Linked DNA regions of Styela clava. The protein of the gene in region 3 binds, or shares a complex with, the protein of the main gene of each other region. Links are inferred from orthologs where the notes say so. Each region holds a gene or a part of one and is shown on either strand. Other genes may lie near its edges. The genes, in order: ATP-dependent RNA helicase DDX42-like, splicing factor 3B subunit 2-like, splicing factor 3B subunit 5-like and splicing factor 3B subunit 4-like.

Region 1 (8,328 bases), on a different chromosome or scaffold from region 3:
TAAATTTAACATTCTTTGTCAGATCTTAGATGTTTTGTACATCCATCCTCTACCATACCTCAGCGACCCCATGACCTGTTTGCGACCCTACCTACTTATCACTCCGACCCAATTTGTGATTGTGACCTGTGGTTTGGCAACCCCTGGTATACTTAATACAATACTTTATTTGATACTACCAAACAAGTATATACTCAGATACCTGATATTCAAAACCCATTTCAAACATCCTATCTGCTTCATCAAATACGAGGTAAGTTACTCTTCGCATGTTAGTGTAATTCTTCTGAACATGGTCGATAATTCTACCAGGAGTTGCAACTACAATCTCTGATCCTTCAGCAAGTGATTTTTGTTGTTCCCACATACTACCACCACCATAACAGGCTGTTGATCTTACTCCATAAATCTTAAAAGAAATGGAGGAATGAACAGTCTAAATGACGAGTAGTGTAGAAGGATAAAATACAAATAATTTTAGGCACTCCAGAAGTGCAATATGGAGGTAACTAATTTTGTTCGCCTACTTTACATCAAGTTGTGTAAAGAGATGAAAGCCTATGGGCAGGGGATATATACACTTGGCTAACACAGACAGTACCCGAACTCGTAATAGAACTAAAATAAGGAAAATCAGAATAAAATTATGGCCTAACCTGGTACACACACTACGGAAGTACCTAATTTTATTGTAAGTTTTCATTTCAGATATACAAAAATATGGTATCTCATTACTTTCAGATAACTCTAGTACCAAACCCATGTTGTTTTGGAACTAACAAAGATATCAAGCAACAACAATAAATAATAAACAAGAGAGCGATGAGCGATGCAAATATATGAACAAGAAGGCAACAAACCCCATCAGTAATATAAATACCGTACCTTGCCAAATCTTTTTACTTCAGCATGTATCTGTTGACAAAGTTCTCTTGTTGGTGCCACAATAAGTGCAATTGGTCCATCACCTTCTTCAAGTACAGGTTGATCCAGTACATGAGACAACATGGGCCAAACAAAAGCCGCTGTTTTACCAGAACCAGTTTTGGCAATACCAATTACATCCCTGCCTGACAATGCACTTGGTGTGCCTTGAGCTTGAATTGGCGTGGGGGAGGTATATTCCATTTTCCTTCGAAAGAATATTATATCATTTATCGAATAATTACTTATCGATTTAAATCGGTAAGTATGTTGATAGGTATTTGTCTGTCTGTATGTCTGTTAGATACACGCCATATCTCACGAAAGCGAGATTGAGTCTGCTCTAGATTTTGCATGTGAATTCATCTTATCTCGGACCAGAAGCCTATTGATTTAGGGCAAATTATGTCGAATAATTAGCGAGTTATTAATTAATTAGTGATGGGACACAAGGTGTCACTATGGAGTAAGAGCGCTGTTTTGGGGGATCCCCTAACTTTCGATCGATAAGTCTTCGGTCTCTGACCGATATTCTCGTTCTAATTTTAGCATAAATTCGTAACATAGTGATCACACCGGAGCATATTTGGGTAGCAAAGTTTAAGGTTTGCCGTTTCCCTTCAAATCAAGCATTTTTTAATCTGCATTTACACTATGTATTTATGGTAATGCTCAAGCTAAAAGAAGAAAGATTAGCATATACATTTCTAACTATCCTAGAAAATGCAAACTCACCTTATAACTTTCATCAGTTTTTCATCAAATCCGAAATGAGCAAAACTTGTTACAGGCTTTGGTGGAAAGAAACCGGAAACTTGGATCCCAAGTTTCCCTCGTAACATGGAAACTTCTGAATCTGTAAGTCTTTTAATATCATCATGCTCAACATAAAAGTTTTTCTCAAAAGTTTTATACTCAATTTCAGAGTGATAAATCATTGGTAATGGATCAATCATCTTTCTATCTTTCTGTGTTCCAGGAATTGGATTTCCATCTTCATCATATTCAACTGGATCATCAGCATCCAGAAACATTTTCCCTGCGGAAGAAAAATGTGACAGGTTTGTAAAACGAACAATATTACATCATTCCACTGCCTCATTTTCATACTTGATCAATTTCACATAATAGAGATGATCTCATAAAGATTATGTTTAAAGAATATCATATAAACTGTTACTCAAATATGATCTCTTTTTTCTACTAACACAAAAAGAATATCCAATAAATTTTCAAAGATAATTTAGCATCTACCTGCATCAGGATTTTCTTCAATATATTTATAATAGGATTCTTCATCATCCATTGTCTCTAAATCATCTCTGACACCTTTGATTGTATCTCGCTTTTGTACGGAATCCTTTTTGTCCTGCTTTTTGACCTTAAAAATAACAAACGGCTCAGCCATTAAGGTTGAAGTTATGAATACACCAATAACTAGATTTAAACTTGAGCATGGTCTCTTCAAGATAGTAACATTAACATATCATCATTGCAAAATGAAAAGAAAAAATAACCTCATTTTCAATGTTAGCCATGAATGCATCAAGAGGATCTTCTTCTTCACTTTCTTCTTCTTCTTGTTTTTTGATCATGTCCTTATGGCAAACATTAAAATTCATTAATACATATACTACGACTAGAGTGCTATTTATATAACCTTTTCATTCCATTTTTGCAAAGTTATTTTTATAATAAAACAGGACATTTTTATACTTTTACTTATTACTTTTTATACTGCAATTATGCAGCAGTGGCAGTGTAATGTTTATTTTTTTCATATGATATATACATGACACACATTTGACCACTTCTTCATCATTTTTTTCAAGACTTGCGCTTGACATGTAGCCTAACTTTAACTCAAAACAGCGCTGTAATATCAGAATATGTAGGGTTGGGTCCACCAAGTTTACCTGCTTCTCTTCTTCTGATAAAAATGGACATCCAGCCAAAATATCACGTTGCTTTTGTCTATTATCTTGCTGCTCATCGTCATCATTGAAGTATTCATCTTCACCCTCCTAAAAATTCAATGTTGTTTAAATCTGACTTTATACCAAATATAAAACTGTTTTTGAAACAGTTTGCCCTAGAGTGCCATATACATAGAACTAGGCTAGCCTACTTATATTACAATATTAATCTTACTCACACTCAATCTCCGCTTGGATCCGATTTTGTATGACGTGTTTCCTCTAGACGAGCCAGTCATATCAAAACCTTGAAACCCATACTTTTTATTTCCTCCACTCATTCTCTTGGCACCTTTGACACAAAAATTAGACAATGGAGCAACGCCTGGCTAGGACACTGCCTTGCGATAATCCGCAGAATTTTCCAACCAAGTCTGTGTGTTAATCGATGATGCTGGTGCTATGGTTTACTTATAATTTACATTGCTCTGCAGCGCAACTGCGCGGTTATGTTCGGGTGACCAGGCGTTCCTCCCACAGAGATATATAAAGTGTGCTTCTCTCTCATTTTAGCGGGACCAATAGAAGCCTCCCTCGTTTAGGCGATAGACTTCCAACTTTTGCGTAGCGCGTAATGCATTTCTTAGGAAATTTGACAGAAATCATAATTTGCTTTGATTTTTCTCACCTATTCGCCTGATCTTGGATTGTTTATTATTATTAAATATGAGACGCTAATAGATCACAGTTCAGTGGTTTCTCCGGGTGAATGGACTTTTCCCCGACCTTTGACTTCCCAAAATTCTTCCCACACTCTTCCTATATACCAGCGTTCCCCAAACTGTGTTCCGCGGAACACTAGTGTTCCGCGAGCAACTTCGAAGTGTTCGGTGGAAAAGGAATCAAAAATACGTCTCAAATGGTCGCTATGGAGATTTGTCGATTCCCAAATTAGGGGCCGCGCATCGAATTTTAGGGGCCGCAAAAAGAACACCAACTTTACAAAACATCAAAAATGCATCTTTCGAACTGTTTAGCATTGTTAACGTGGACAAGGTCCGCGAAAAAAAATTATATATCCAAAAGGGGCCGCGAGTTTGGGGAGCCCTGATCTTTGAAACGTGAAGTTGTCGCCCAACTGACCGTTCAATATCGCGTCACCGTCGCCCTAACTGGGAAAGGGTAGTGGCGTTTTCGATAAGTCATATAAATTACGTACGTACAAAAATACGTCGGCCTAGCTTTTAGACTGTTATTCATTCATAAGTTCATTATCAAGTTTACAACAATCTTTTTGGTTTTTCTATAGGCAAACGTGTAGGTCTAAAGAATAAAGGCAAAAGGGTCAACTCTTCTTCCTCCGTATCAGCCTGGTTTTACTTTAAAATGCTGAAAAAATCACTCATTTTCGCTAAACTCTATTAAGTTGATAAATAAACTGCGGCGAAATTGCAGCAAGTACTTATACTCCCATTAGACGTAACATTAGAGGCAAACACTACGTAATGAAAAGTAAATGACATAAATGGTAAAGTGAATTTATTGATTCATATTAAATTAAGAAAACTTTTATAACATTGGCAACATGTAAAATATTCAAGCATATTTTAAGTATGTTTAACACAATTCTGTTAGTTTTCCCCGCGCATTTGACAACTTTTACTTTATCAATTTTACTCTTTTATTTTTTTGGTGTTCCGCGAGGCGAGATAAAACGTGGAAGTGTTCCGTGGCCGAAAAAGTTTGGGAAACGCTGCTATATACCATTGCGAAAATTCCGGGGCTTATTTTAAGAGTAGTTTCGCGAGTTGGCGAGCACCGGTAAAGAATATCAGCCTAGTCTATCACAGCTATTTCTACACCAATTTTTGATTACTGCAATTAAATTGAAACTTTTAAGAAGACAAAATGATCATTGAATTATCTGATTTATATTTAAATTTTCAAAACACAACTGAACACTAACGAATAGAATTCAAAAACGTTTAAACGAGGTAATGTTTGTATCTTGCTGATTGGCCAATGGCGACTTCGTTAATTGCGCCTTCTTTTATTCAATTACATTTACGTACAATAATGAATAGATACGTTAACTCACTAACGCTACTGCAAGAGTTGCAAAGCACTTCTAGAAAACACTCTCAGCTCAAGAATTTCGTTGTCAAGCGGAAATCGCTACAAAGAATGGATCAAAGTCATTTTACGAGAACAAGATCTAGAAGCTAGGTAGGCTGACCTTAAAAGATTAGGTCATAGTAGTAGCGTCATGACTAGACCCAAGTTTTTTGCGATATCAAGTTAACATGTCATTGTGTAGTTATAGAATTTTAAGTTGTTTGAAGAAGAGAATTGTTAGATTATGTAACATGGGTAATAGTTTTCTGCAATCTTTTCTCTAGCCCAGTGCTCCGCAACCTTTTTTTTAACTTGCGGCACACTTATAAATCTTGCCAAATTTGACGGTACACCACAACAAACGAAAAAAACAAAGTGTAACTTTGTTTTTAGGTTCATATTTCAATGAGAGATTTGTGGTTGTTTTAATGAGCACAATACATAAAAGAGCAACTCGAAGTTCGCCGTCAACATCCTTTATACAGTATCGTTTATCGTTTTTGATCAGTAATAAAGAGGAAAAGCTTTGTTCGCACACATAAGTTGTGCAAAACTGGAGCAATATTTCAATAGCTGCATTGGAAATGTGCTTATATTCTTCTTTTATTGAAATCCAAGACACATCAAGTGGAATTTCGCTGAAATTCAGTCTTAGCGTTCTGTAATTTCTTACTTCAAAGAAATTTTCTCGAATACGCAGGGGTAATTCTTTCGTTAAGCTCAAGTTTTATTCATATTCGATTACTACACGACTACACGTGCTATGTTTTAGCCTCGACAATAGGCTTTACCAAAGCGTGTATATAATATGGGCTTCACAATATATCTGCTTGACATATAGGCCTATTCCTTTTTACGTCACAAATGCACAGTGGGGGGAGTAAGGAATTTGAATTGGTGTCGCTCAAGCTAACGTAAAAGCAGGTTAACTTTACGTTAGTAGAGTAGTAGACTAACGTAAAATTAACAAAGGATAAAAAAAAATTGTAAAAAGAAGAGAAAAGTGGCAATTCCTGTGCGGCACACCTGGCATCGTCTCGCGGCAAACCGGTGCGCCGCGGCACACCGGTTGCGGAGCACTGCTCTAGCCCAGTGTTTCCCAACCCGAGTCCGCGGCCTCAAATGAGTCCGCAATGAGCCAGAAATTCACAGGGGCCGCACTCAAATATTAGAATAGCAATTTACTATTCGAAAATTTGGTAATACGTGACGCGACAGTTCACTTGCGCGTCGCTTGCGGAAACGAAAACGTCGATAGATACCTAAGTGGTGTTTCTCGCGAGTTCGAACAACGAGGAATAAATATTTTTTCTGTTAGGTGTAAATGGTGACAACCGAAATTTTCTAAATTGAAAAGCGGCGATGCAAAATACTAAAAATAAAATGGAGAACACGATAAGTTTTGTTTTATGATGGTCCTCGACCGATTAAAATGCTTTTTTACGCATTGCAAATCGCAAAATTTCTGGTGCTACCGTAGTTTACGTACCAGGGCATTTTCCCGTAGGATTCTTTTCTTTACTCCACATCGGTACGTATAGTACTGGAGCGCCGTAAGTGTTGTACAAACAGCTCAGATTTGTCGAATTTACGAAAATACGAATCAAAACTAAATATAATTCGGCACTTTACCACACATTTTTGTGTGCACGGATTGTCATGATATTTTCTCATTAGTATTGCTAAAAGGATCACAAATATGGATGGATTGAATATTTTATCCAACAGAAAAAATTATAGAAAAGTCGGCTCTTTAACGAGTGACGTATACCCGACGATTACTTCAGAAGTTGTTCCGCGAGAATTTCAAGGCGATAAATATTTAGGTTTGATTTACTAATATACTAAATATAAATCTATTTTTAATAAGTACTAAATTAAGTTGTCCATTCTGGAAATTTATAGCAGATAGTAGGATTTTTCTAACGGCGATAACAAAATCGCAAGATCGCAGAAAATATGTATCAAAACTGAATATAATCGGGCAATATATTCTCACATTATTATGTTCGCAGATCATCTTGTCGTAAGTCGAGTAGTCGACCGCATCTGCGAGTTACTATGGACGCAATTGAATTAAAATAGAAAGTTATTTTAAATTCTCGTCGTTGTCATGGATTGAATATTGTGTCACAGAAAAGTTCATTACACACTAAAAAAGTGGGCTTTTTAACGAACGCGTAATTGCGGCAAATTTCCGATTTTGAAATTCGTTAAATTTCTGTTGTGTTTGGTTTTATCGCTTCTTCACAAAGAGTACGGTTGCAATAAACGCACCTTGAGTCCGCAAAGGTTTTCGCGGGTGAGAAAATGGTTGGGAAATGCTGTCTTAGCCTGTTGAAAACAGAGTTATCTTCTAAAATTTAGATGTACATGCTGTTTGTGGGTTAGCCAAATTCTGCAGGTACTTGAAAAACGATAGCGTAAAGCGTTATGTGATATTTTGCGGGTAATTCTAAAATCATTGCATGTTGGACGATCTCCTAAAAACTGCTTTTCAAAATTGCAAAAACCTCATATTATTTTATATTAAATTATTCTAATTTTCGTGGGGGATTACGTGCTGACATCTTTAGGAGCATATTGCCATAGTACAGCTACAGCGAAATGTGGAAGAAATAAGAATCCCTTTAGACTTCAACCGAAGAGACATTTCTAACACGCTGTTATATTAGTAGAATTTAAATATTCTTCCTCTCAAATATTTTAATCGAATGACAGTTGTACACAAAAGGTTGAGCCTTGTAGACTTAAGCTATTGAAAATTGTGTTGAAGTCCACTGAATAGGAGAAATAGCCTACTCAAGATTACAATCTGATACTCGACCAAAATAATCACAAATTGCGAATTTACCATAATTCTTTATTTCAATAGATATCAAGAAACCACATCATTTTTTTCCCTCAAATTCGAATTGCGTCTCATAAGTTTTCGCTTATTCATTGCGTCATTGTTGATCTTATTAGTGATGTGTCTTTCTGATCCGGTGATAGCAACTGGATCTAGCGTAAGAGATTTTCTCATAGCTTCTGTAATGTCATGACGAATAATAGAACCCAGGGGAGGTCTGAGTTTTATCCGTTTATCTGAAAACGCACGAGATTTTAGACCCAAATATCCTGCTGTTTTTTCAAATAGCCAGTGCAGCGCGAGAGTCTCAACTTGATGAGCCTCCTCCTTCGTCGCTTCATTTTTAGCGAAAAACAAAGCATCCGATAAAACAGTGGCGTAAAGATTAGTGTAAAGCGTCAATGTGAAAAAGGCAAAAAGACAAAAGTAAATGCTCCACCACATTTCTTTGGTTACGCCGAACTCCGGATGTGACACATCCATGCCTGCAGCCACACTTGTAAGAGTAGTTGATGCTGTTAG
Region 2 (8,116 bases), on a different chromosome or scaffold from region 3:
GTCTACCAACTGGGTTTACATACTTCAATTTGTATTACAGTTGTAAAACAGAAAAAAGCTGAATGTCGGTCTTATTCCATCTGTAAATTTACCAAAATCTCCAAAAAGAATGAACAATGTGCCAGACCATGTGTATTTTCGATGAAATGAAAAGTGACATATGAAAAATACAGAAGCTGTAGAAAATATTTTGCATTCCAAAAAAATTAGTTCACATATTAAATATTTTACATTACAAAAAAATGGTGCTCCAGAAGTATGTGTACCAATATGAAGGTAACTAATTTTGTTCGCCTATTTTATATCAAGTTGTGTAAATGGACTAAATTCTATCGGTAGGGGATATTCACTTGTGTAACACAGACAATTCCCGAACTTTTAATAGAACAAAAATAAGGAGAATCGTAACCTAACCTGGTACACATACTACAAGAGTACCGAAAAAACAGCCCACATAGTAAAAGCAGTTATGGAAATACTTTACATTGCAGAAAAATTAATTCACATAGTAAATAGCAGACGCAAGATGTATTTTGAATTGCAGAAAAAATAGCTCACATAGTTAATAGCAGTCCTGAAATATTTCTCACTATTGATAACAAAAGTATAATTGCATCCAAATCAACAGTATCTTTATGACTATATAAAGGATCGTTAAAATTAAATGATATGCAAGAATCATATTGATAACAAAATGTATTCTAATCAATTTTAATATATCTAAAACAAATTCTTCATAAATATTTTTTGTAATTTACAATACATGAAAATATGTGAAACAAACTCAGGTTCTCCATTACATAATACACACGTTTCATTCCCTGATTTTCTTCCAATTTCTGGCTTTTGTTTTCAAAGGCAAGATATCCCAGAGTAATTTATAGTTAAAATCAGTATTTTTAATAGGTAAACGAATAGCTCGCAGAGCCATGTGATTCATATGGAGGACAGAGCTATGATTGTGAGAGGCCGTGGTTCGCCATATATTTAGGCATTCTTCTCGGCTTTCCTCTCCCATGGATAAATATGTAAATCCCATGTTATATCAATGAATAAATACATAAATAACCGCACCCCTCTAGGCGACTGGTTCATATTCTGTTCTGTAGATACGTTTTCTGCCTAATAATAGATATGCATTCTCAATAAGCATATGCTCATAGTTGTATGCTTTCAGCGTACCATACTTCGAAACCCAAAACCAAATATGTATTGAAGAATTACAGACCTCAATACGGCCAATTTCGCACCCGACTCGGCTGAAGCAAGGGATTTTGGCAGCGAGCAATGCGTTTTCTTAATATGCAACGAACCATTTAGCTGGACGACGTAAAAATGCAGGGAACAATACCAAAATGAGCAAATCTTTGCAAGTTTCCACTCATTGTATATATGCTCATTGGTAGGCTTCAAAGTATCGCAAACTGACGACGTAGAAACGCATCAGTCATGCGTGGCGAACCGGCCGTGAGCGAACTGCGAAACCACTGTGAAGTGACTCACGAACCACTGTGCACGAACTATGGACCTTTCCTCAAGCATCGACTTCCTTGTTTACTTCATGACATTGGCCAATCAGCAAGATGCAAAAAGTGACGTAACAATGTTCCCTTTTCACGCCCGCTCGGACACTTTTCTCACTCAGACAGATTTTCAAGCGTGGTCGTAAACATCACCTCGTTTTCGCGTTTTTGAACTCTATTCGTTAGTTTTCAGTTGTGTTTCGGAAACTTAAGTATGGATCAGATATTTCAATGATCACTCCAGAGCATAATGGCTCTGATCACTCTGTCTTCCTAGGAGTTTTAATTTAATTGCAGTAATAAAAAATCAGCGTAGAAATAGCTGTGCTAGACTAGGCTAAAATTCTTCACCGGTACTTTTAAAAAACGGATTGTTGTATGCGATGAATCATAATGATGGTTTGAAAAACATACCTTATTTTACAGGCGCCAACTCGCAAAAGCATTCTTAAAATAGCCCCGAAAATTTTGCAATGGTAGAGTATGGGAAGAATTTTTTGGGGGTCAAAGGTCGGGGAAAGGTCCATATTCAGTAAACTTTGATGTACGTCGACGTATAATACACGCTTAGCTTATAGCTATGTAGCCTAGATACGGTATGTGTTGCATAGTGTAGTGTTGCATAGATATTAATCAAAATACTATTATAGCAAACGATTCGGAATGCAAATCAAAATTAATCACAATAATATGCGGAAAATCAACAATTTGGGAATATCGAAATTCAGTAAAATATGATGAAATAGGTGGAAATTATTGTTATATGAGCACATGGTGCATGGATGATCTTTTACATAGGTCAATCATGATGTAAGTTTATATGCAACACCATACTCTGAAAATTATTGAAAGTATGTTATTTGTACATCATTCTCAAAAGAGGATGAGGTTTCGACTATGAAACATAGGCCTAGATGGCGAATGGGAAAAACCCAATATGAAAGCGTGGATTTTTCCATATTCTCTGTCTAATTTTTGTATTCTTGTATTTTTCATGCTAACTAGCAAAAAAAAAAAAAACAGATTACCTGTAAATTAAAATTATATTCAACTAACTGCTGAGTAGATTACATGGGGATTAACTCAACTTTTTTGGACATATATTCAGATATTGGATTATATTAAATTAATGACATCATGGTAATGGTATGAATTTTGTCTTTATTTTTATTTTTACTATTTAGCCTATGTACAGATGTATTGGGGGGAATGGGATTAAATTGAAAAACGATAAACAAAAACATGGAAACAAAAAACTATCAATTTATATATTTATAATAAAATGATTTGATACCAAAATATTAATACGAAAATTCCATTTGGCATTGGAATTTATTTGGCACAAAAAAAAAAAAAAAAAGCTATGTAGCCTATACAGCAAAGTGATAGTCACTTTGGTATACAGTATACACTATACAGGTATATTCAGATATTACTTGATCTGCGCAACGCCAGATCCTTGCTGCTTAGGAGGACGGGTTCATTGCGTCTCTTTTTTTTTTTTTTTTATAGTTCTGCGTAGTTCTGTAATTGCGTCTCATTATTTCCCTTTTCGTTCCTTCACTGCAAAGAGAGAGAGAGAGGGATTTTATTATCACAAACAATGCCAACACTAAAAGATATATTTGATTCAAAAACAGAAAAAAAAAAATTTCAATACTAATTGGTTGATCATTATATGCGAGAATGGAAATACCGGTACAGTGGTACCAGAACGGTACAGTATGTAGTCAACATGTGTAAGTCCTGACTCCTGAAGTCAGCAATTTAAAAGCGGTCTTACTAGTTACTGAATACAGCGCGAAACACCGCAAAACAGCGCAAAACAGAGGGAAACAGCGCAAAACAGTGGGAAAACAGCGCGAAAGAGCGCAAAACAGAGGGAAACAGTGTGAAGCAGAAAAATTTTTTGCAATGAGTTCGGGGCACCTTGTTTTGAGTTGGAGTACCACGGCAGCAAATTAAAAACACAAACCAACGTATGTAGCCAGTAATGCTGTAATGGCAGGTCTGCCCCTGCTATTGAGACACATTTTGGGTACCATAATTTAGAACATTTTTCATATGGATATGGTTGGCTTTAGGGTTAGGGTTAGATAAAAAGGGACCTCCAGAAGTATGTGCACCAAGATGGCGCACAACCTGAAAATAGTATGTGTGTGTGTAGCGGATTCAGGTTGTGCGACATATTGCTGCACATACTTCTGGAGCACCAGAAAGGTAGATAAAATTTCGCATGATGACCTATAATCCGGTACATAACCTTGTAAATATACCGGAAATAGCGCAATAAAACCATGGCGAGAGGCGCCGTGGTTCTTTCGTGGCAGGAGGTGGTAATGACTGCGTCTCCTGTTTTCCGCTGTTTCCCTCTGTTTTGCGCTGGTTTCCTTCTGTTTTTCGCTGTTTCGCGCTATTTTGCACTGTTTTGCGCTCTATGCGGTGTTTCGCACTGTATTCAGTAAGTAGTAAGACCCATTTAAAAGTTAATACCCGTACTGCAAGTTAAGGCTGTACAGCTGTATGGTGTTAATAGATCATATGAATTGAGTGCTGGCAGGACCAGAGAATTATGGCAATCATCATGAGCTTGCAATGCCGCTAGAGTTCAAAAAGTTGATAAACTTTATTTTTGTATTGAGACAAGTACTAAAGTAAAATCATGATGATGATATCTTAGACCAGGACCAGGAGTGTGTAACTTGCAGCCCGGGTGCCAAATGCGGCCCTCTAGGAAAAATTGTGTGGCCCGCGGAGAAGTGCCAATTTTTAATGATGTGCGGCCCGCGAAACGTTTTTTATTTTATTCAATACCGGTATGGTATGTGCGAGTATTCTTGAGTCCAATTTATTATCTATTCCATGACTTAACAGTTAGCTTGTGCAAACAATGTATGTCACAAGATCAATAACCAAAATTTTTGTGCCTGCAGCTACTAGATAGCCCATGTTAAGGTGCAACCCACGGTTTCACCTAGTTCAGTAGTTATTACTATCTGGCCCTACTGTATTGAAGGTTGCACACCCCTGTCTTAGACAATGAGTATTTATAAAATAAAATAAGTAATATTTATGTTAATTCTGTAATTTGGATGAAAAGAAAGTCAAACAGTCAAGAAAGTTTTTTTTTTTACAGTCAATGACCTCGTTTCAGAGACAAATAAAGTGTTCGCTTCATTGAACTGAATGTCGGGGGTATCGAGGTGTCTTGGAATCGAAGAACTGTGCCCCTACTGGATTAGATTAATCCGAAATCAAATAAACAAAGTCCGAAAACCCAATGTTTTAAAATATTGAATTCCTTCTTTAATTTTTTTTTCAGGATTTAAAAAAAGCAGTGAACGTGAAGACTACAATTCCTCTAACATAATTTTTGCATCACAGTTTCCCAGCTTAACCATTTATCTCAATCTTCTTTGATTTACAGATTTATATAAAGTAGATAGGTAGAGGCATAAAGTAGTTTGCAGCAACAGCATTGTATAAACCATGTCAAACAATGACATCCAACCTCCCCCTCCACCCCCTCCAATGATGGGATCATTGCCTCATGGACCACCTATGATGGGAGGCTCATCAGGACCCCCACCCCCTCCGGGGCCCACAAATATGATGGGTCACAATGTGCCACTTCCGATGAATATGGGTCCAATGATGCAAGGTAAGATTTCTTTTTTCAAATTAAATTGGTAATTAATGTTGATTGCGATTACATAGCACAATAAAAATCAACAAAAAAACAACCCTTGTTTAGCGAATTCTATTGAATATATAATTTTAATAGCAAGTTTTCTTCCAATTACAGGTGGACCAGATAATATTGGCTTCAATGACAGAATGAACAGAAGACCCCATCCAAATGTAAGTATCAAATTGGATTTACTACAACTTGTCATATTGCTATAACTTTCATTCATTCTTTTTGACGATGTAATAATTTTAGAGTGAAACACTATCTGTTCAGAAATAAATTTATTTTCAGGATGGTGAAGATATGCGAGGAGGTCCTGGAGGATTTGATAGACCTCCTTTCCCTGATCGCTTCAATAACATGCCACCTCGTGATAGGTTTGACGGGCCATCTGGACCTCCTGGTAATTTTGATGGCCCACCTGGGCCCCCGAATCGCTTTGATGGTCCCCCAGGAAGTTTTGATGGCCCGCCACCGAGACATTTTGATGGTCCACCTGGTGGATTTGATGGCCCACCTGGTGGTTTTGATGGCCCACCTGGAGGTTTTGACGGGCCTCCTGGTAGCTTTGATGGACCCCCTGGGTCAGGTCCATCAGGCCCTGGTGGATTTGATGGGCCACCTGGCGGGTTCGAGGGACCTTCGGGACCTAGTGGATTTGACAATCATGATGAGTATAGAGGAGAACCAGAGATGTATGATGGTATGTATTTATGTCGTAATATGCTGCTGAAGTTTTTGTTAATCTGTCATTGAATAATGGAATAATAATATGGAGCTAAGCTAACTGGTGTTGTGTGCTTGGTGTGTATTTATTGGTAGATTAGTGAAAATTTTATATAAGAATACAAGTTTTATTTCAAATCCTTTTATAAATATCAGAACGTGCTCCTCGACGTGGTTCTCCCCAACCTCTTATGGGACGTCGTGTGGAACCAACTAAGGATTTCGAAAGAAGGTTGAAAGAAGATGAAAAATCAGGCAAAAAAGGAAGAGATTTCAGGTTGCCAGCTGCACTGGAAAAAATGCTTGCCTACAAAGATGAAAGAGCAAAAGAGGTATTTTTATTGTGTGTTGTTTAATAGATAACATAGTGGTTAAAGTATTGAACGTAAGAATGTTGGCATTGCAGGCCAGAACTGGGTTTAAAATTCATGTCACTAATAAATTGGGTAAAGACTGCCAAACTGGGAAGATCTTATCGAAAATAGGACCTTCTTGCTTAGAAATGGCTGCTTGTTCAGAATTGAAGCCATATAAAGCATTTTAACTAATATGATCTTTAACCAATTCAACTTAGAAAAAGTTCGACTACTACTACTGTTGAATTTGAACCTGCTTTCAAAAAATATATTTGTGTTTACATTGTTATACCTCGAAATATCCTGTAATAGTTTCTATTTAATTTGAAATAGGTTGGAGTTTCGAATGAAGAAGTCAAAAAGGCAATGGAAGGAAAATTGGAACTCGAAAAAGCAACAGAACCAGCAAATGAAACAACAATGTCTGAACAAAAAAGGTATTTAGAAATGTTGTTGGTTTGAAAATGTCTTTATAAGATATGTACAAGTCTGGGACTTTACAACCAGCGACGCCTGCAAGATTTCAAAAATTCTCCCGATTTTGACTCTAAGTTAATGAAAATTTAAGACTTGAGATAATCCTATTTTGTTAAAAACTTTGGTCTTTCTTAATTAACAGAATGTTAAGGACAGTGTTGAACATAATTTATTTGAGTTTCTTTCTAAAATTTTGTCTTTAATTATAACCATTATCAAGTCTGGAATTCCGAATTTGGACTTACAAGAAATTCAAAATTTTGACTTGACTTTTGATAAATGGTGATGCAATTATCGCAAATACACTACAATTCATATTGAATTCACAATCCAGTACATTTTCAAAAACCAGAATCTCCATCACTTTTAATCAATATAATGAGAGAAAATTTTGATCAGGGGCTTAGGCTACCCAAACTTTTGAGCTCGCGAAAATTTCCTGTGACCCCTGTTAAGTCGGCATTGTTACGCAAGCGCACCGCTCCTCGGTTCTTACGATTAAAGCCTGCATTATTATATAAGCGTGTCGCTTTTTTGATCCTATGTATTCTCTCGAAATCATGAAATTTAAGTTTTGCACCAGTTTTTAATAATTGTGTTTCAAATCAAAATTCTAAAAAAGTACAATAGATATGGTAGCCTACTTTGTGTGTAATTGGTGAAATAGGTTTGAACCCTTAAATTCAATGCGCACCACCATGCGGGGTCGCGACCCCCAGTTTGGAAAGCCCTGGTCGAGGTTACTTCATGCAAGGAGACAGAAAATGTTAATCTTTCTGCATGCCTCTGTGTGACTAAATAATGCTACTTCCAAGACTTTCATATTTTAATATTTTTTCAGGCGACTCGAGGAAATAAAAGCAGAAATTACGAAGCAGTATGTTGAAGATACCAAACCCGGTAATCTCCCACTTACTAAATCAGAAGTTGCTGAACAAGCTCGTAAAGCTCTCAAAAACAGAAAGAAAAAAGAAAAGAAGAAGAGAAGAAATGTACAAAAGAAGAAAGAAAAAGAAGAGAAGGAGATAACAAAAGATGCTCAACCTCCCGCAGAGAAAGGAGAGATTGATGCAGTGAAACAAGAAAAAGATGTTGAAATTGAGTAGGTTATTGAATGGTTTTACATATGTGTTGGAATTAATGTTGGATAATATACACCAGGGGGGGCCAACCTTTTTTCGGCCATGGTCGACTAAAATATTCAAAATAGCTTGCGATTGACTTATCGTTACTGAGGTCATACACAAAAACTATGAGTACTGAATATGCAGGTAACTACACACACGCATATAAAAATTCCACCGCTGCCGATATGCTCGGCTCCGTGGATGCATTCTGAATAC
Region 3 (6,790 bases):
CTGAGGGAGAATGCGGTATTTTGTTTGTTTCGTTGTTTCCCTCTAACATTGCTAGCAAACGTATCACATGTAAAATCAATTGTAATTGGAGCTGTTCGGGTCATCACGTGAATGCAACATTGAACAACGTCTTTTTGAAGTTGGTATCTACAGAAAAGCATGCTTGGGCGATGAAGTAAATTCTCAATTCTTGAAAACGGCAGACTATTTCAATATTCTTTATTCCTTCTATTTTACATGAAAAAATCTAAATTTGGATTATTTGTATCGTTAGCGTCTGTTTTTTTCTATTTTTCACACTGAACCCGATATTTAGACATAAAATATGCGCATGAACTCTCGATGAAGACAGCCGGGATGGCTTTAAATGTAGGACTATGTAGTAAAATCGGAAACTGTAAAGTTACAGAAGGCGTCCCGCTTTGAAGTAAAAAAAATAGTCGTTGCCCTAGCTAAAGGGACGATGTTTTGGGGCGTATGGTGACCTATGGACGCAACTACCTCCAATTAGTTGTCGTATGGGGCTTTGCTAAGCGATATCTTTGGAGGGCAACTCCACGATAACCACTAACAATCTCCTGATCGAGAGCAGCGATAAGTTTCATTATATGCCAAACTCCTTGTGGTTAAGGCAGCGAGTCGAGCTTCGACACCACGGGAAGACAGTTTTCTGCCACTGGCGCGGCGGTGTGGCTCAACGGGCTAAGCGTTAGGAATACGCTCGCCACCGCACCTCTAATTACTCTGCGTAGGTTCGAAACCCATGCAGGGATGGTTATGTGCGAGAGGATTGCTGGACTCCTCGCCTTCGCTGGGTGGTTCACGTAACCGCTGGTCGGTTACGGCTTCCTCCACCACCAAGTCCATGCTTCCGAAAAAACAAACAATATAACTAATCCCATACCAGACTTGGAATTGTAACCGGACGAGAGGCCGCGGTTCGCTATATGGATAAGCCGTCTTATCGGCTTTCCTCTCCCCCGGGATAAATATGTAAATCCTATCCTCCCGGTTTGGTTGCTCAAACCCCTTGCGCTCGAAGTCTGTCCTACTTCGTTACTGTCATACTTTTCGTGGAAAAAATGAAAGACAGACACAGGAATCATAATTGAATCATTAAATTTTCTGCGTCTATTTGTGTAAAACAGAATTAATTAATTGTGTCTATTTGTGTAAAACAGAACTAATAAGGAAAATAATAAAAACAAGTTGATGATGCTCATATTGAGCAGCCCCTCGGCACCATTTCAGATTATAAAATATGCAACCGGAAAAAAGTCGTTAAATTTCTTGCATTTTTCCTTCTGTAATTAATGATTGTTGTTGAGGTTAATTTTCAAATCTTTGTTAAACATGGCATGGGCGTCATTATCTCAAAAATGCATTGTTCTAAACCAAGTTAACATCAGAAATAGCAGAGCCAGGACAATAAATAAGGTTTGTTGTTGATCTATTCATAAACAAAGACACAAGATGAAAAATTGAAACATTTCTATTGCAATACGTTGCTACTTAAAGACTATTGTCACTAATAAATAGCTAAAATGGAAAATGATGATTGCAAACTGTCCACATGGCGAGCACCCGCCAATCAGATTTTTGCGAAATTGAGAATTGAGATATTACTGAAACGTCTTTATTAGCAATTCACCAGACAAAATGAAACAAGGTTTTAACAATAGTGCAATATAGAAAACTTTTAGAGTTTTTCAGTCAAGTAATAATTTATCTTCGACTTATATTCGTCTGTTTCACCAAAATATTTTTGACATTTACTGTCATATATGATAAATACAGAATCCCAAAATAGTAGAGTGTAGAATTACTGTTTTTGTTATTTAAGCTTCACAGATAGACACATGTTTTCAACTAATAGAAGCAAGAACGCATCTTTGATAAACCAAGTTCTTTTCATGAATAAGATCTCAGTCTCCGCCCAACCGTTGACCAGCACCACCCCATCTGTGAGCACCATCATCAGCTGGTGCAGCACGTCGAGACTGTGGTGCAACACCAAACCCTGATACAGCACCTCGCATGTTGGGAAAGTATTTATATCTAGTAAATAAAATAAGATTAGCAATTTAGTCATATAAAGAGTGGCAAAAAAATGAAAAAAAGTTATTGATCATTCGCTGCAAGTTATACTATTCATTCTGCACTCGTTTTGTGTTTCTGATTTCTGATACCCTTTTTCATACACTGCTAATTTTTAAATCTTAATTCCACAAGCATTAAAAGTTGATAATAAAAATGGTAGACGACAATGCATCCAAATGTTCGTAACAAACAAACATTACTCACAAAAACTGAGGTGTTTCCAATAATGCTCTTCCACCAAAATCTTGAGGATATTTAAATTTCAAAAAGAAGTAAAGATGACCAACAAATATACCAAGTAGTTCCGACATTCCTCTGTAATGCAAAATGATGTAATATCTCTGTATGACCAATTAGTATTTGAATATAGTTGAAATGAAAAATTCAGAACTTACCCTCCTCTGATAATCATGTTGAATGCAAACAAAACCCATGGTAAGTAAGCGGCCTGGAAAATAGAGTAAATTTTTACAGTACTCCTAGCAATTCTATCCCACAAGTATAAAAATGGTGCCGCTTTGAGGCAAACAGCACAATTTAATATTATTGGCATATTTACATTTAAGTGGTACAAATTATGTGAATACAGTGTGAAAATCTTTAGTCAGAATGAAATCATAAATTTACAGAACATGAAATAGACACTCAATACACAATTATAATTGTCTAAATTTCTACAAATAAACTCACCTTAAACCTGGTTCCAAACCAGAATGATACAATTTGATCGCGATTTATTTGACACCAAACGTACAAAGCAGAGAAAATGAGTAAATCAAACATGATCTAAAAATAAATATATAAGTAATGAAAATCATTTTTAACGTGCTTATAAATGCTCAGCACTGGTGACATTATAATGTTGGATTACTTTGATGAACTCCAAAACTGAGTATGTGAGTCTTAGTCTTCTAGATATTTTAAGCATATTGAAATGATGAAAGCATAATTAAATTAACTTACCCTGATTTCCAGAGCCAATGCCAATCCCTGAATTAAAAAAAAACAGGTATGGTTAAATTAATTCAGATGGGCAGAATGAAAAAAATGCATGGCTTAATTTGCTCCTATGAAATGTAATAAGTTATTATAATTTTCAAGTTTGAATGAAAAAGTCAAGAATTTATATGTATTAAAATTTTTCATGAATAAAGCCAAAAATGTAAAACATAGAAACATTGAATAATCAATAAAATTTGAATGCATAAATCCTAATAATAAGGAACATGATATTTTCAACTTTTTTTGAGAATAAATTGACTACTCAGTCATCATAAATTGCGATTGTCGAATATAAGAAATATGGTAAATTTGAACAGAACCGAAAAGTGATTCAATACTTGGCCAAGTAGATCACTTACGATTCATGCTTTGAGAAATGTAAGAAGGTTAGGCTACTACTATAATTTCAACAACTACAATCAGGTATAGAGCAAGGCTACATTCATGAAAATAGTTCCTACCACTGTAGTAAGCCATGTGAAAGCAAGCATGAAAACATAGTCTGCAGGTCTCCCTTCAAATATACCTGTATGTAAATGTATAAATGAATTAAATATAGAAAGAATGCGTGTGTGATTAAGTCATCCAATCGGCTTTCCTCTCCCATGTGATAAAATATAAAACTAAAATATTAATTTCATAATTTCTGGTAGCAGACGACAAAATGGTAATACCAAGATATACCAGGATGAACCAAAAAGAAATAGTCATAATAAACATTATTTATAAAGCAATATAAAATGTGACCTCTGCTAAAAACAATTGAGATGATGAACAAGGATTATTATGATGTGTAATAAAAAATTAGGTAAGAAAATTAATCACCAGTTTCAAGTCTTGTTGAATAACTGTACAAAAAATATAACATAATGAGATAATGAAAACCAGTCATCGGTGTTATTGGGTAATAAACAGCAGCAGTGAATGGACGCCATATCTGAAACAAGGAGTGAAAGAAAGTATAATTATGGTCAATATTTTAACATTTCTATACATCAAAAATTAGTATTAAAATATATAACAAATTACCTGAAATCTACTGAATAAACTGTACCAATCCAAGATCAAATGCATTCCATTAATAATGTTAAATTTGGCCACAAGTGGAACTACAACTGATGCACTGAACCTGAAAAGAGAATGTGTGTAAAATAATGGTATATTACAGAACATCAGTACTACAGTGGATAGGATAGGATTTACATATTTATCCCGGGGGAGAGGAAAGCCGATAAGACGGCTTATCCATATGGCAAACCACGGCCTCTCGTCCGGTTAGACGAGAGTCCCATTCCAAGTCGGGTATGGGATTAGTTAGTTATACTGTATTGTTTGTTTTCGGAAGCATGGACTTGGTGGTGGAGGAAGCCGTAACCGACCAGCGGTTACGTGAACCACCCAACGACGGCGAGGAGTCCAGCAATCCTCTCGCACATAACCATCTCTGCATGGGATGCGAACCCACGCAGAGTAATTAGAGGTGCGGTGGCGAGCGTATTCCTAATGCTTAACCCATTGAGCCACACCGCCGCGCCGATGTTGGAAGTACATGAGGTATGAAGCTAGGTACTGGTAGATAGGCACAGTACTATATAATGAATACCTGACTGTTGGACCCAAAGACTGTGTGTAAACTGTACCTGTGTAGCCTACCTGTATTGTCTGATTGGAGTGTAACTACAGTCAGTTGGTAAAAAAATTTACGTACCGGTAACTTACCAATAACGAGTTATTCTCGGTATTCCACGATACCAGTCTCCAATATCATTAGACGCCATCTTTGAATATCCCTTATTATAAAACTACACCTAATACTCACGACAAACTGACAAAATATCAATGAAAACTTTAAAAACCAGCAAACAACAAGTTCTTCTTTGCAGACGTGTCTCAAATTATGCACAATAATGTAGATATAATGACGTAGTATGACTTGACAAATATATTGACAGACACATGTGCACCACCTTGTGATCAGATCCAGGAAGGATTACCGTACTTTGGGTTTCTTTTGGCATTTGGTGGTTGTTTGTAGTGAGAATAAGTATTTCGTGAGTGTACAGAGACAAAATATCAATCAAAATGGGGGATCGATATAATATATTTTCTCAAATGGAGCATTTGCAGTCGAAATATGTCGGTACTGGACACTCTGACACTACAAAATGGGAATGGTTGACAAATCAACATCGTGATAGTCTTGCTTCTTACATTGGTCACCCGGATCTTCTAAGTCACATTGCTATTGCGGAAAACGAAACAAGAGCTCGAGTTCGATTTAATGTGTTAGAAAGAATGTTCCAACCTTGTGGACCACCTCCTGATCGTCCAAATGTTGATTGAAGTGTGATTTAATTGGAAAGCGCTTGGAAACTGACATCTGCAGATCTGAGACACATGTCATACCCACCTCAAAATTGACTAGTGTTATGAAGCATGAACTGCCATGTTCTTACTAGTTTTAATATTTAGTTGTTTGAGAAGTTTAAAACTGAAATATTTCACAGGAAATACTGCAATGCTTTGTATTTAATTTGAAATGATATTACTATCTTGATGAAATTAATTTGATTTCACTATGAATAAAGCTCTAGACAAGAAGTCCATATGAAATTAAACTATTTTATTCAATCAAGTATTATTTTTCATATCCAAACTGCTAATAAATGTAGGTCCATAATTACAGAATTAAAATGATTTACAAATAGAGATATGTTCCTAATATTTTCTATTGTAATAGGTTAAATAATTGTGGCTATCTATCCATCGTGGCTTGCGTTTATAGATGAATGTGTTTCGAAATTTTCAATTTTGAAGCCATCCTGTTTTATAAATTTGTCATGTTTTAATTGTTGAAATGGATTGAATCAAATCAGTAATTCTTGTCAGTACAACTCCACTAAGCACAGCTTTAAAAACAATTCATTTTGAGTTATTTTATCAAAATGTAGCCCCGATCAGGCAGGGAAACTTTTTTTGAAACAACTTTATTTTTGTCATTTCTCTTGTCTCACCTAATTCGAACGATATATTATTCATGCTCATGTCAATTTTTTCTTCGACTTCATTTCTTGAAACATGATATTGTACTGCAAATGTTTTTTATTTAGGTAGTAATCTTTTAAAATCTTAATTCTATCAAATATTCAACATTGTAATGATGGAAAAAGAAGCTGATATTACTGCCGAGGAGTTTGCACAATATGATCGCCAAATTCGATTGTGGGGACTTGATGCACAAAAACGTCTTCGTCAAGCTAAAGTTCTTGTTGTTGGAATCGGTGGACTTGCTTCTGAGGTGGTCAAAAATGTTGTACTTGCAGGTGTAAAGGCTTTGACAATGCTTGATGACAAAGTAGTTTCAGAGTCTGATATGGGTTCTCAGCTTCTTGTAACTCATTTAGACATGGGAAAAAATAGAGCAGAAGCATCAATGGCCCGAACACAGCCGCTCAATCCAAATGTAATCGTATCATGCGATAAGATGCCAATTTCGGATAAACCGGATGATTTTTTTCGAGAGTTTGATATAGTTTGTTTAACGGAGGTACCATTCGAAGAAAGGATAAGAATTAATTTAATATGCAGATCATCTGGAATCAAATTCTTTTGTGGTGATGTTTTCGGATTTTATGGATATTGCTTTGCTGATTTGGGGATGCATGATTTTGTGCGTGAAGAAGTGAAA
Region 4 (6,720 bases), on a different chromosome or scaffold from region 3:
TCCAATTACTGATGGAGAAAGATCTATAATCGAGAGTTTAATACGGCTTCTGTGACATTAAAAACAATTACTGTTTTACGTTTTTATATATTTGCAACTTTTTGAATAACGCAAAAAAATTCGTTGGCTGACTACCGGCGTGTTGAATATTGAAGGATTTTTATTGTAACATTCGTTTAACGATGCTTTTAAGCCTAACTTTGGGCATATCAGCTACCTGATGTCATTCGCCGAGCGAATTTTGTTTAGGTGACATTGCCATCTCGTATTTACCATCCTGTAGCCATTCTTCTTATTTAGGAACTACGTGTTTTACAGTTAGCTGTTACAGCATGAAATAATGTACACATAATTCTACGTAAACTATCCATGAAATCCATTCCATAAACTATCCATGAAAAGATATTACAGTCAGATCTTCAGGTTGTAAAAAATATTATACAACAGCAACAGCAAGTGATCGAATATCTTTATTATAGCCGTGGTTGAACACCGCTGGTTGTCAATATAGATTTTGCACAGGCTTTTATACATTTTGTGAACGGTAAATTATGTTCTATTAGGGGATAATGTGACTTGGATACGTATTATAAAAGATTCTCTGCGACATAAGTCAATTGTTTCTGTTATGTAGTTTATATGAAGTCGTAGGCCAAATTACATTATTAAAATCGTCGTCCGATAACAATTAAAACTGGAATTTTGAACTAATATTGCCAGAAGACAAATTAGGTTGTTTATAACGATGCGATTGTTACTACCTGGGTAATATATTACGTCGAAATGTTTATAACAAATTAGAAGAAGTTTTGAATCAATTTCAAGGGTTCCGAACATTACTATAAAGATGTCGTCTGAATAACTAATATTCCCTACAGATCTGTCAAATTTCAACCCGTATTTAAATAATACATATGTCATACTTTTGAATTAATAAAAATAAACAACACAATGTCATTCAAACTTTACAATATTCAAATAGTTTTGCAAAAGCGTGATTGGTTTAATTAAATACCGATTTCCGGATGTAAATACTGATGATAAAAGTTTAATTCCATTTATGCTAAGGGGAGCTCTCATACAAACATTGACTTTTCCAAAATAATGCAATAGGGAAACAACATATGAAAAAAAAATAAAAATTATAGAGATATGGCAACTACCATTGACAAAACCAAAAAATCAGGCACTTTTTAAACTTGCCACATTCCTACCAGTGATAGATCTTCTAGTTTTGGACAATAAAAATACCAAATTCAGTCATACAAAATATGTATATTTGGATTTTCGGATTTAAAGTAATCAAAAACATCGGGAAATAGTTTTTTACAAAGTGCCTGAAATTTCACAAGTGCCTGATTTTAGTATTTTGTGCTTGCGGTTGTCAGATTTTATCATTCCTATTAAATTTCAAATAAATCCAAAAAGTACGATGGTTATCTATATGTTGTCAAATGATATTGCTCATTGCATTATTAAAAACGCTGAAATTGTTGTAGAACTAGGAATTTCCTTTAAAAAGCAATGATTAGTAAGTTCTGACTCAAATAATTTAGAAAAATTGTTGCGAAAATATATGGCAACTGTTATCGAAAAAAATAAAAAATCAGGCACTTGCGAAATTTGACCCCTCATCACCAGTCCCAATCGTTTTTGATTTTTACCAAAAAGACGTCATTTCAATCATACAAAAGAGTGTGTATTTTAGTTTTCTGCTTCAAAGTAAGTAAAAACATTGAGAAATAGATTTTTACAAAGTGCCTGAAATTTCACAAGTGCCTGGTTTTAGTATTTTGTGCTTGAGGTTGCCAAATTTTATCATTCATATTCAATTTCAAATAAATCCAGAAAGTACGATGGTTGACCATATGTTGTCAAATGGTATTGCTCATTGCAATATTAAAAACGCTCAAAATGTTGTGAAACAATGAATTTGCGTTAGAAAGCAAAGTATAGTAAGTGCTGATGCAAAGTATTTAGAAAAATTGTTGCGAAAATATATGGCAACTGTTATCGAAAACAATGAAAAATCAGGCACTTGCGAAATTTGACCCCTCATCACCAGTCCCAATCGTTTTTGTTTTTTACCAAAAAGACGTCATTTCAATCATACAAAAGAGTGTATATTTTAGTTTTCTGCTTCAAAGTAAGTAAAAACACCGAGAAATTGGTTTTTATCAAGTGCCTGAAATTTCACTAGTGCCTGGTTTTAGTATTTGTGCTTGTGGTTGCCAGATTTTATCATTCATAATCAATTTTAAATAAATCCAGAAAGTACGATGGTTGACCATATATTGTCAAATGGTATTGCTCATTGCATTATTAAAAACGCTCAAATTGTTGTGGAACAATGAATTTGCGTTAGAAAGCAAAGAATAGTAAGTGCTGACGCAAATAATTGCTAAAAACAATGGCAACTGTCACCAAGAAAAATGAAAAATCAGGCACTTGCGAAATATGACACGTCTCCATCAGTCACAAACGGTATTGTATTTTACCAAAATATTGTAAATTCAACCATACAAAGTGTATATATTTAATTTTCTGCTTTAGAGTAATCAGATACATTGTAAACTAGGTTTTGACCAAGTGCCTGAAATTTCACAAGTGCCTGATTTCTATATTTTGTAATCAATGTTGCCACATTTTACTATTGAAGAATTATTTATACCCTAATAAATTGGAAATAATATTGTTTTATTGCAATATAGGGATGCAAAAAATTATTTAAAGTCTAATTATCTTGTCAGGTAAATTGGAAACCCCAATGACGTACGGTAAAAATAAAAAATATCAAAGTGCCTGAAATGGTGCCTGAAAAAGTGCCTGAATTCGCAAGTGCCTGGTTTTAGCTACAGGAGTGGTGACTCCTCTACGGCCCATGGGCCGGGGCCACGGCCCATCTAATTGGGCCACATGGGCCGTGGCCCATCAAGCTATGGGCCGCGGCCCCATCAGGAAAATTTCAATTATCTTACCAAAATTTTCAATTTTTACAAAACTGTCAATATTCGAACAAAAAAATATACTCCTGTAGTATGTGTACCAGGTTAGGGTTAGGACAAAAAAAAATTCAGATTTTTTACATTATAGTTCTATTATGAGTTCGGGGACTGTCTGTGTTAGCCAAGTGAATAGTCCCTTTACACAACTTGATGGGCCGCGGCCCATAGCCTGATGGGCCGAGGCCCAATTCGATGGGCCGTGGCCCCGGCCCATGGGCCGCAGAGGAGTCACCACTTCCACTCGGTTTTAGGGAGACCCGATAATTTATAAACGTTTAAAAATTGTCAGGAGGTGAAAACACAAGGCGAATTTCCATCAGCTCTGTTAAGCCCAGTAAAGTTTAACATTTAGCCTACTTTGGTTAACCAAATAAACTACATCTGAAGGCGGCATAAATAACATGAGATATTATGATTCAAAACTAATGAAAAATTAAATAGAAAACCATCGTAACATTGATTATTCCATTGATAAACAAACAAAGATTTTGGGTCTGTAACTTTTCATGCGATTTGAAAACCTTCTAGATATGTCCTACACTTTCTGCAGTTTAATATTTCAATTAGCCAAGATACAATTTTGCCTTATTTTCAACTAATTTGTGGAATTACTGTACTGTAGTGGTGATACTGATATTCAGATATTGTAGTTATTAGCCCATCTGTCAAATAATATTATTATATACATGATTCCGTTGTTAACAAATTTAAAATATTTTTCACCAATGTTTATGCATCTAGAATTCTGAAATGATCACCATTCTTAGCACATTTCCATATGCAATTTTGTGTTTTTTAACTGTTGAGCAGTAGGCTATCACTCCCATCTAATATTTTCCAAATTCAAATATAACTTTATTCTAATTCAAAAACTGTTTTTAATTAGCAGGATTAGCCCCCAGTTATAACCACTACTTTCCCAGGTTTGTAATAAATTTAGTATGTGGAATCGGCGAGATTCTGGTTCTTTCAAAAGTAGCGTCTTGAGTATCATCTTTGAAGTGGAGTTTTAAAAAAAGTTTTATGTCATTGTATTCTGCATTGGTCCTATTTATGATTTTTTGTGTTAGGATTCAACTTACCTATGTTGCGAGTATTAAAAAGTATACGCCATAAGTGCTTAAATAACGCCAAACAAAAATGTGATGTGAAAGTACAGAAGTAAATGATGTAACTGCTAACATAACGCCAAACAAAATTTATTTTCATGAAACAACAGTCAGTCTCGAAGAATTCTATACACTATTTGCTGATTTTGCAAGGGACATACCTGCTTAGTTTAAGATTGTGTGTGTTTAATTTTAACTAAACACGTCTATGGGCAACTTCATTGCGCACATCACATTTCTGTTTGGGGTTATTTAATCAGCTTCACTTTTTTGTTTCGTGTGATTTAAGGAGTTACGGCGTTTACTTCGCTGGACCCTATTTTGCCATGTCATAATGTTTCAATTGCTTATGTAATAACAGATAGTTAATTATAATACTATAAATTTTTAAGAATATAGGCCAATGGCGGCAGGTCCTATTTCTGAACGCAATCAAGATGCGACTGTTTATGTCGGCGGACTGGATGATAAAGTAGCAGAGCCTTTGCTGTGGGAATTATTTTTACAAGCAGGTCCTGTCGTCAGCACACATATGCCAAAAGATCGCATTACAGGAGCACATCAGGGGTATGGGTTTGTTGAATTTCTTGGTGAAGATGATGCTGATTATTCAATTAAAATTTTGAACATGATAAAACTTTTTGGCAAACCTATTCGAGTTAACAAAGCTTCTTCTCATCAGAAGAATTTAGATGTTGGTGCAAATCTTTTCATTGGAAATTTAGATCCAGAAATTGATGAAAAATTATTATATGATACCTTTAGTGCCTTTGGTGTCATTCTACAGACCCCTAAAATTATGCGTGATCCAGATACAGGAAATTCGAAGGGATTTGCTTTTATTAACTTTGCCAGCTTTGAAGCATCTGATGCAGCTTTGGAAGCTATGAATGGACAATATTTATGTAATAGGGCTATCACAATTTCGTACGCATTTAAAAAGGATTCTAAAGGTGAGCGTCATGGCAGTGCAGCTGAAAGATTACTGGCAGTTCAGAATCCTCTTTCTCAGGCAGACAGACCACACACAATGTTTGCAGATGCTCCTGTTATCCCACAGCCTGGTAAAGTAAATTCAATTATGGGTAATGCACCAATGCCAATGGGAATGCCACCTCCACCACCAGGTCCACCAAGCATGATGCCTGGTATGCCTCCAATGCCACCTATGGGTATGGCTCCTATGCCTCCTCCTCCAATGCCACCAGGTGGCCTTTCGCAACCTATGGATGGTATGAATTCACAAATGAATATGCCAATGCCTCCATGGGGACCACCACCCCCTATGGGAATGGGCGGACCGCATGGCATGATGGGCGGCCCACCTCGCGGCCCCCCAATGGGTCCTCCTGCTCCATGGGGTGCTCAAGGTCATTTTCCTCCCATGCCACCTCCCGGTGGACATCTTCCCGGGCCACCTATGCGTGGCCCACCACCGCCTCCAAACATGGATGGAGCAAGATGGAACGAATAACTGGAATCATCACTACCAGAAAAAGGAAATCAATCAAGTTGATATCTTTTGAAGACATTGAAGGATGGGAGATGAACAGTACATTTACATTCCATATTAATTTATGGCTGTAATATAGGCAAACCACAGGGTGGATAAATATATTGTTGTATATTGATTGTCTCGATGACAAATATGTTCATCCCAGTTTGCAAACCTGAAGATGTTCCATCTAAACAAAATTTTGTTCTTGTATCACTATACATGAACACTTTTGCAAAGCCAAATCTCTTAATAAGAATAGTTATGTATTATCTGACTCTGATTGATATTCAAGCCAACTTATCGGTATGCGCCTTGCTTTTTACTTTATGAATATTGTCCCATGAAAATAAGTTTGAAATTGAACAGATTGAAGTGAAGTGAAAATATCTTATGACTTTTTAGTTTGTGGATGCCAAGTGTTTATATTGTTATTGTGTGCATATCACAAGTTATACCATAAACATGCACCTAATTGCTAAGACAGATTTGTAATATTATTTTGGTCTTCTTGGAGGTTGTTTATGCTGTCTTTCAAGAAATCTTTCTTCTCAACTGTTTGAATCATACTATTGAGCCATTTCTTATGTGGAAATAATCTTTTTTAGATTGTAATCATAGTGTTATTGCCTAATTTTTACTTAAAATGGCAACTCTAGTGATGGATCAGTTTTTGATGGATTTAAAACAGGATCGCTTCAAATCGTCTTATGAAACTGTATGTAAAACCATAAATTATCTACGCCATGTAATAAGTGCTGCAAGATTCAGCCATGCAAAAGATTTGATGAAAACTATTCAACAGGTGATTAATTTTTATCAGTATTAGGTTTGTAAGAAATTGTGTTTACAGTGAAAGATATTACACAATTTGATCTTGTATTTTTCAAATTTGTTTATTTTCTATTCAATGTTTTACCACTGATGGAAAACCCAACCAATTTTGAATTCTTATTGGAAATTTGGTACTTTCTATTTTGTGCATTCCTAGTAGCAACAATAACATTTCCCCATTACAATGATACTGTGGTAAACTGCAAAAATGCTATTGCGCAAATATAATAATTGAAAAGAGTGTGAAATGCAAGTTGTTATAACGATAAGAGGAAGA

Evidence for each region.
Region 1: the proteins of splicing factor 3B subunit 5-like (region 3) and ATP-dependent RNA helicase DDX42-like are in contact, whole or in part, in a cryo-EM structure (PDB 7EVN), measured with the Homo sapiens proteins. The link is inferred for Styela clava from reciprocal best matches to the Homo sapiens genes SF3B5 and DDX42. Residues at the interface, in NP_112577.1 of Homo sapiens: Arg4, Tyr5, Thr6, Ser9, Gln10, His13, Leu14; in NP_031398.2 of Homo sapiens: Asp156, Ala159, Tyr160, Phe161, Tyr163, Met164, Asn167.
Region 2: splicing factor 3B subunit 5-like (region 3) and splicing factor 3B subunit 2-like share a complex: the UniProt entries of both Homo sapiens proteins name them as parts of the SF3B subcomplex of the 17S U2 SnRNP complex. The link is inferred for Styela clava from reciprocal best matches to the Homo sapiens genes SF3B5 and SF3B2.
Region 4: splicing factor 3B subunit 5-like (region 3) and splicing factor 3B subunit 4-like share a complex: the UniProt entries of both Homo sapiens proteins name them as parts of the SF3B subcomplex of the 17S U2 SnRNP complex. The link is inferred for Styela clava from reciprocal best matches to the Homo sapiens genes SF3B5 and SF3B4.

What each region holds. Positions count from the first base shown.
Region 1 is NC_135253.1:14,088,207-14,096,534, forward strand, and holds the start of ATP-dependent RNA helicase DDX42-like, read right to left. Parts: upstream 3,342-8,328; 5' UTR 3,182-3,341; coding exon 3,080-3,181; intron 2,949-3,079; coding exon 2,841-2,948; intron 2,523-2,840; coding exon 2,442-2,522; intron 2,306-2,441; coding exon 2,179-2,305; intron 1,964-2,178; coding exon 1,660-1,963; intron 1,133-1,659; coding exon 886-1,132; intron 410-885; coding exon 203-409; intron 1-202. Other genes in the region: polycystin family receptor for egg jelly-like, read right to left, coding at 7,834-8,328. UniProt on the Homo sapiens protein: ATP-dependent RNA helicase that binds to partially double-stranded RNAs (dsRNAs) in order to unwind RNA secondary structures. Unwinding is promoted in the presence of single-strand binding proteins.
Region 2 is NC_135251.1:20,765,317-20,773,432, reverse strand, and holds the start of splicing factor 3B subunit 2-like, read left to right. Parts: upstream 1-4,935; 5' UTR 4,936-5,012; coding exon 5,013-5,184; intron 5,185-5,328; coding exon 5,329-5,384; intron 5,385-5,505; coding exon 5,506-5,917; intron 5,918-6,096; coding exon 6,097-6,272; intron 6,273-6,629; coding exon 6,630-6,733; intron 6,734-7,614; coding exon 7,615-7,875; intron 7,876-8,116. UniProt on the Homo sapiens protein: Component of the 17S U2 SnRNP complex of the spliceosome, a large ribonucleoprotein complex that removes introns from transcribed pre-mRNAs.
Region 3 is NC_135262.1:19,158,763-19,165,552, reverse strand, and holds splicing factor 3B subunit 5-like, read left to right. Parts: upstream 1-5,097; 5' UTR 5,098-5,184; coding exon 5,185-5,445; 3' UTR 5,446-6,212; downstream 6,213-6,790. Other genes in the region: derlin-1-like, read right to left, coding at 1,926-2,058, 2,305-2,415, 2,496-2,548, 2,791-2,886, 3,064-3,090, 3,564-3,628, 3,928-4,039, 4,132-4,231 and 1 more; SUMO-activating enzyme subunit 1-like, read left to right, coding at 6,260-6,790. UniProt on the Homo sapiens protein: Component of the 17S U2 SnRNP complex of the spliceosome, a large ribonucleoprotein complex that removes introns from transcribed pre-mRNAs.
Region 4 is NC_135255.1:4,024,136-4,030,855, forward strand, and holds splicing factor 3B subunit 4-like, read left to right. Parts: upstream 1-4,473; 5' UTR 4,474-4,517; coding exon 4,518-5,588; 3' UTR 5,589-6,218; downstream 6,219-6,720. Other genes in the region: translation initiation factor eIF2B subunit beta-like, read left to right, coding at 6,256-6,414. UniProt on the Homo sapiens protein: Component of the 17S U2 SnRNP complex of the spliceosome, a large ribonucleoprotein complex that removes introns from transcribed pre-mRNAs.